2 linked regions of the Tribolium castaneum genome follow. The protein of the gene in region 1 purifies or fractionates together with the protein of each later gene. This does not show direct contact. Links are inferred from orthologs where the notes say so. Each region holds a gene or a part of one and is shown in the gene's direction. Other genes may lie near its edges.

Region 1 (4,453 bases):
TTATTTCCCAGGAGAGGAACGGTACTCATTTTGAACAATTGTTGCATTAAATAATGTTCAACTTATAAAATTGGTTTTTATTTTTTATCACGTATGCTTTGAAAAAATTTAAAAAAGAAATAGTGCGTTGTATTGCTTGCGAAAAAGGCTTTCATACGAGGTGTCACTTGGCATACCATTAACATTTGAACAAGAAGTTAGAGGTGGCTGTGCATTTCTGACAGCAGATAAACAAAAACCATATGCATCAAATAGTAGGCAAGGAAACATAAAAATTGACCTGCTTCGGGAATTTTTACCAAAATCGCCTTAAATCAAAGTTATGATTTATATTCCAGCTGTATATTTTGCTTTAAGTAATCGTCTTTTACAAGATTGCAATGGAAGTTTTTCAACACTAGCTTAAATATCCTTATTAACTTTTAAAAGTTGTTATTATTAACGCACTATAAGTGAAGCGCATAAATCTGGCGAATCAAGAAATTAGTTTGTTTTATTAAAAACGGTAAACAGCTGGATTGAAAAGGCATAAGATTCATCGTAGCCGTGTTTATTTGAGCATGAATAAAGCCAGAGCGCATAGGTGTCGGTTGACTAATTACTGCAAATTGCTGTGAATTCAACGATCCAGTTTGTTTACGAACATTCGCAAAATGATTAAAATAACGTCGCGAGAAAATACTTCTCGTATTGCAAAAGGTAACGACGACAAATAATAATCGCAAATCTACTGTTGTTTTAGTAATTTGTATGACATTTTCAAAAATACGTAACATACTTAGTTGAATGTTCTAGTTGCACATGTTGATGGAAAAAATATCAAACTGAAAGCTGTATTAATTTGATTCATTAAAATGTTCCTAATTAGCAGCACGAGTTTATAAATCTGAGTTAAATTTACTCTAGATTGTTATGTAGCTATGCAGTATTGACATAAAAAGTGTCTTTATTTCATTTCTGCATTTTAATGTGCAAAAATTCAAAAAACTGAAAGCTGTATTAATTTGATTCATTAAAATTTTCCTAATTGGCAGCACGAGATTATAAATCCGAGTTAAATTTACTCTAGATTGGTATGTAGCTATGCAATATGAAAATAAAAAAGTGTGTTTACTTCATTTTAATGTGACAGAAAAAAAAAGAAAACACGGTAAAAAAAATTGGAAAAGTTGAAACAAAATAAAACACTTTCGTGACATGAAATTCTTTGGGAAATTTCATTGGTTATTTCTATTCTTCCTACTGGACTTTTCTTTGTATTTTCTTGTAATTCATCCTTGTTTTTTCTCTCTCTCTCTTCAGTCAGGCATATTTGAAAATATACAGCGTGCTCAAAAACTGGCGCACCAACTCAATGGTGTGTGGTAGATAAGTGGTTACATATAAAGGTAAAAGTAGTAAAAAAATTCTTTGTATTAAAGTTATTGATAAATAACTAATTTTAGGTAAATGATATGTGGCAACGTTGTCTAACAGTCATGATCGCAATAAAAATAAATTATTTTTGAAACGGTTTCCTAGGAAATAATTCCCAGTGTTGGCACATCTACAGATTGTGATTTTTTGGATGAAATTTAATTTTTTTAAATTAAAAAAACTGCTAAAATCTTATAGTAAATTTTAAAATAATTATTCATCGTTTTGTTACGGAACGATTACCTGGTGTGAAACATAAAAACATAAAAAAATAATGAAAACTAAAGAAGTTAACACAATAAGTTTGTAGCTCCAGATTTTTTAAAATATAACTTTAGCAATTTTTTCAACATTTTTCCCGTAATCTGCACTTGCTTCTCAATAACGTACCACTGAGTTGGTGCGCCAGTTTTTGAGCACCCTGTATTAATAAATCTAAGTTAAACAATAATAAATTACGCATTTTCTTTATTTTTTATAAAATAAATTCAAAGTTAATATCGGCATCAATTTAGATATCAATCGGTGGTGATAAAGCCATGGAATGTTTCAAATACATGAAAATCATGCAATAAACTTTAGATAAGAAAATGCATTGTGTTTTATTGTTTTCCAAAATGTTCCAAATGTTACATTTGGATTTGTATGACGAGAATATTCGCATTTTTTGGAGATTCTTCTCAATACAATTTTTGTTTGTTTTAACTTCTAGTGTTTTCTTTTTACTTTACGTCTTTGGAAGTTTGAATTTCTCTTTAATTTTTTTGAAAAATTGTTCGCTTTTTCGGAATTCGTCCTTTACAAAATCCCTGACTAGGTTTTTGTAATTTTTTTGAATTTGGCTTAATTTAGAAGTTTTTTCCTACGCAATTAAACAATGTGGAGTTATTTTTGAAAGTGTCGTAACATTCACTATTTGAATCTCGCAAAATTCCTGATTCTCCCTGGACTTTTTTTGTTTTGGAAATATTTATCGGAAGTTGGATGATTGCCGAATTTACTAAATAAACGTGGACTAGTCTGTGGCATTATCCAAAGTAAAATAAAGAAATGGAATGCAAAATTTTGCTTTTCGGAATGATTTGCTGCATTTTCTCCCATCCCTTGCGTTTTGACGTCGAACCAAAAATATCTCGCTTCCCCAGGTTCGTATGACGGACGCCTACTACCGGGCGCTCCTCGCCCGCTCTCCGGACTTCAGCGCGGGCATCCTGCACCCAGGTCAGGCCGGCCTGGGGCTCTCCCGCCAGCCGCGCCACCCTGGCACCCTCGGCCACCACGACCGCTCCAGCTCCGCCCCCAACGTCTGCCTCAACAACGTGAAGGGCCCCGGCGACGACTGCCCCAAGTCCCTCAGTCTGACCCGGGGCGGCATCGACGACGGCCTCCCCCACTACCACAGCACCCAGGCCTCGCCCACCGGCTCCCTCCAGCCGCGCCGACCCCGTGCTCGCTCCGCCGACGAGAGCAAGCCCCTCCTCGCCCCTCGCGAGAGCATCGAGGATTGGGAGATCCCCGCCGACGAGATCCTCGTCGGCCATCGGGTCGGCTCGGGCTCCTTCGGCACGGTCTACAAGGCCCATTGGCACGGCCCGGTCGCTGTCAAGACGCTCAACGTTAAAATACCAACGTTGGCACAACTGCAAGCCTTCAAGAACGAGGTGGCAGTACTGCGCAAAACGCGACACGTGAACATTTTATTGTTCATGGGGTGTGTTAGTAAGCCGCAGTTGGCGATCGTGACGCAATGGTGCGAGAGTTCGAGCTTGTACAAGCATCTCCACGTGCACGAGACGAAATTCGCGCTTTTTACTTTGATCGAAATCGGGAGACAAACGGCACAAGGAATGGACTACCTCCATGCGAAAAATATCATCCATCGAGATCTCAAATCGAATAATATTTTCCTACACGATGACCTAACCGTCAAAATCGGCGATTTCGGCTTAGCCACGGCCAAGATCCGTTGGTCGGGCTCCAAGCAGTTCCACCAGCCGACGGGGAGCATCCTCTGGATGGCGCCAGAAGTGATCCGGATGCAGGAGGACAACCCGTACAGCTTCCAGTCGGACGTTTACGCGTTCGGGATCGTTATGTTCGAGATGTTGGCAATGCAATTGCCCTACTCCCACATCAACAACAAGGACCAAATCCTGTTCATGGTGGGGAGGGGGTACCTCAAACCAGACATGAGTAAACTACGCTCCGACACACCCAAAGCTTTAAGACGACTCACTGAAGACTGTATCAAGTTCAATCGGGACGAGAGACCGCTTTTCAGGCAGATTCATGCCTCGTTGGAGGGACTTTTGAGGAGTCATCCGAAAATTAACAGATCGGCGTCCGAACCGAACATGAATCGGACGCAGATCCAGTCTGATGATTTTATTTATCCGTGTGCTAGTCCGAAAACACCGGTGGCGTTCGGACCGTCGAGTTTTTTTTATTCGGGAGGAACGGGTAATATCTGAGGGGAGGGCGCCAAGAGGGACGTTTAGGACGAGTGAGAGTGCGTGATACGGCTTGAGTAGAGGTTATCATTAAGTTATTGTCAAGTATTTAAATTTAAATATTGTTTTGTTTTCGTATTAAATAAATTCTTAAAAAAATATACTGCGTTTACTTATTTCCATCCCATCCTACGAAATTCGAAGATTCTGAAAATCTATCTTTGCTTTCCAAATTCAGTGTTCCAACCTTTGACTGGACTGAAAAGTCAAGACTTTGGAAACTTTTTGTTGAAATCCGAAAAAAAACTGATAAAATTTTCGATTCAATTTTATTTCGTATTCCTGGTTTTGGACCAGGGTACAGAATTTAAGTTTCAAATTAAATAAGTTCATAAAACTGTAGTGATTGTTTTTTCTTATTTGGATTATTTCCTGTCTCCCCATTAAAAACATGTTGAATAATGTTTGTCGCAACAGTAAATACGATTTTCTGACTGATCATTAGGACAGCAGAAACAATTTGATATTATTTTTTTAATTTAAAATGGGTTTTTCATTGAAGGCAAGTGTTGCCATTTTCTTGGCGT
Region 2 (3,219 bases), on another chromosome or scaffold:
ACTGGGCAAAAATTAAAATAAAAAGATGCAAAATTTAGAGAAAAAAGTTCATAATTACTTTTGATTTTTAGTCTTAAGACTAAAAAGACTTAAGACTTAAAGACAAGATTATTTTTTCTTTCATTTTCCCAGAATACCGGGTCAAATAACCGACCGCCGCACAATGCTCGGTGAGCTTAATTGGATCTTTACAGCAATTACAGACACCATAGCCTGGAATACGTTACAGAGAGGTGGGTTAAATAAACACAAATCCTTCGAAAAAAATACAAGTACAAAAATTCCAGATCTTTTTCAAAAACTCTTCCGTCAAGACCTCCTCGTTGCGTCCCTTTTCCGTAATTTCCTCCTCGCTGAACGCATCCTAAAATCGTGCGATTGCACTCCCGTCAGTTCCCCACTGTTACCACCAACCTCCCAACACCCCATGTGGAACGCATGGGACCTAGCCCTCGACTTGAGCCTCGGCCAACTTCCCGGAATCATCAACCGAAACGAACCTTTCCAAAACTTGCCTTTCTTCGAAGAGCAATTGACCGCGTTCCAAGTTTGGCTAGAACTCGGATGCGAGGAGCGCAGTCCACCCGAACAATTGCCAATTGTTTTACAAGTCCTACTCAGTCAAGTCCATCGGATGCGAGCGCTTGAACTGTTGGGGCGGTTTCTCGATTTGGGACCGTGGGCTGTTAATTTGGCCTTGTCTGTTGGGATTTTCCCATACGTTCTTAAATTATTACAGAGTAGTGCTAAGGAGTTGAGGCCTTTGTTGGTTTTCATCTGGGCTAAGATTCTAGCTGTTGATAATGTAAGTAAGTTGTTGGTGGTTTGGTCGCAGTCAATAATTGGTCTGACTGTTTTTCAGACGTGTCAAGGTGACTTGGTGAGGGACAGTGGCCATAAATATTTCTTGTCGGTACTTCAGGACACTTCACTTTCGGTGAGTTGATTCAGTGTGGTTTTAATCGAATTGATTGGTCGGTTTAGTCGGAATATCGGACACAGTCGGCTTTTGTTTTGGCGTCAATTGTTAACAATTTCCACGACGGGCAAGAAGCGGCCTTGAAAGGTTCCCTAGTTAGTATCTGTCTGGAACAATTGAACGACCCCAGTTCACAGTTGAGACAATGGGTCGCTATTTGTTTAGGGAAATTATGGGATCATTACGAAAACGCCCGCTGGACCGGTGTTAGAGACATCGCCCATGAAAAACTCTACAAACTTTTGAACGACCCATGCCCAGAGGTAACACTGATTGTTTTTTATTTCAATAAAAAAAATTGTTTTTTGCTTTAGGTTCGGGCAGCGGCCGTTTACGCCTTAGGTACGTTTATAAATTCGGTGACCGAGCGTTCGGAACACGCCAATAACATCGACCACGCGATAGTTATGACCCTAGTTAAGAAAGTCAGTAATGACATGAGCCATCTAGTCCGTAAAGAATTAGTAAATGCGCTCCAATGGGTGGTGTTAGCTTTCGAACACGTGTTTATAACTTTGTCAATGAAGGAGATTCTAAGTCACTATCCCTTGCAAGAAGTCAACGTGACTTCGCCCGGCTTGCGACGAATCGGCAGCCGGGACCGGTTACGAACTTCCGAAGACAGTGTCGATAAAATGAAACGGGTGTCCTCCAGCTCCTCCATAAACAACATGGGGCAAATGAAAGGCTCCCTCAGCCACACCGGCAGCCTTGGCACGTTACCAGGCCTCGGCTACGGTTCGATTTACATGAAAATATGGGACGCTTTGTGTTCGCTTGAAACCGACCCGCACCCCGAAGTGGAATCAATGTGTAAGACTATAACCAAGTACATAGCAAACAAAGTGAAGGAATCGCGCGAGTTCGTCGATAACAAGTGTGCAAGTTTGCCCCCGAGCCCCAACCGGGGGAACTACCTGTCGGGCGAAAGCCCCCCAACTCTCCACCCCGCCACCGACATCCCCAAATACACCCCAAGGGGGCGCAAAATCCACCCCAACATCATCAACGAAGAAACCGACATGAAAATCAAGCAACGCAAGGCTTTAGTGAGTACGAAGTTCATCGAATGGTCGTGCAAACGCTTCGCGCAATCGAAGCGAAAGAGTGGCTTTGACGTCGAATCGCCCCAATTTTACGAACGCGATTGGAGGTACACCAGGAATAATAATATAAGACGGGAGGCTTTGGACGAAACTTCGCGTATCCTTTCGTCAAAACTCGAATCTCAGTTGTTCAACACTAGGACCTCGCTCCCGCCCAGTGTCCTCCAGTTTCACCCCTTTGACCAGCAAATCGCAGTGGCTGGGAAGGATCATTTCGGGTTTGTTTACCTTTTGTAGTTTTGTTTGTTTGATTGGTTGGTTTAGGATTTGGGATTGGGGGACTGGGGCTAAGACGACAGTGTGTCATAATAAGTCGGCAAAGGCTGGGTCTAGTCGGATCACTTCGTTGGAGTGGATCAATGCCCATGATGTGGCGATGTTGATGGTGGCTTCGGACGATGGTAGTGTTAAAGTTTGGAAGCCGAATACGGGTCACAGTCGCGAACCGACTCTGATAAGTGCATGGCAGGCTTTGAATGATTTGAAGTGGAAATATTCAGGGACGCTGTTGGCGTGGGAGCAGTACACACAGACGTGCATTGCGGCAGGGGATTCGAGGATTGTCCGGTTTTGGGACGTGGAGAAGGAGCTGTTTGCCTATGATATTATGACAGGTGAGGAACTGTTCTTCAAATTTTACAATTTCTTGTGTAAAATGCGGCGAATTATTCGCAAAAACATAATAAACAACCATTGAAAAAATGAGTTTTTTACATATTTTGCGCTTAGAATTATTTAAATACTCAGCAATTCTTTGTCTAAACTAATAAACAAAATTTTTTTTTTATAAACAGTAACTGCAATAGAATATTTCTTTTCCCATCTACAAAATGTGTTAAAGACGGTCGCTTATATTCTATTTGTTTAAATAAAAATTACTTATGTAGTTGTAAAAAAACTATATTTTATAATTTAATTAGCAAAGAATACATTTGCACTAATATATAACTTTTAATCGTTAGTTAGATTGGCCCTATCTCTTGCGTTATTACATAAATTTATCCCGTAAATGTTAATATTTCATTAATTAATTGCTGTTGTACTGAAAACTGCTTGAAATTGTATTTACCTAACTTAGTAGCTTTTACCATTTAAGTAGTAGTATTGAGTAGTATTTATCTTTAAAAAACGAAA

Evidence for each region. Proteins that work in one complex are often made in the same cells at the same time.
Region 2: the proteins of Raf (region 1) and raptor purify together in Homo sapiens (affinity purification with mass spectrometry; 3 studies listed by BioGRID and IntAct, with this or other methods). This does not show direct contact. The link is inferred for Tribolium castaneum from reciprocal best matches to the Homo sapiens genes BRAF and RPTOR.

The regions. Positions count from the first base shown.
Region 1 is NC_087400.1:7,671,086-7,675,538, forward strand, and holds the end of Raf (raf homolog serine/threonine-protein kinase Raf), read left to right. Parts: intron 1-2,561; coding exon 2,562-3,887; 3' UTR 3,888-4,027; downstream 4,028-4,453. UniProt on the Homo sapiens protein: Protein kinase involved in the transduction of mitogenic signals from the cell membrane to the nucleus. Phosphorylates MAP2K1, and thereby activates the MAP kinase signal transduction pathway. Phosphorylates PFKFB2.
Region 2 is NC_087399.1:3,463,071-3,466,289, reverse strand, and holds part of raptor (regulatory-associated protein of mTOR), read left to right. Parts: intron 1-132; coding exon 133-233; intron 234-287; coding exon 288-805; intron 806-862; coding exon 863-937; intron 938-984; coding exon 985-1,242; intron 1,243-1,293; coding exon 1,294-2,303; intron 2,304-2,349; coding exon 2,350-2,699; intron 2,700-3,219. UniProt on the Homo sapiens protein: Component of the mechanistic target of rapamycin complex 1 (mTORC1), an evolutionarily conserved central nutrient sensor that stimulates anabolic reactions and macromolecule biosynthesis to promote cellular biomass generation and growth.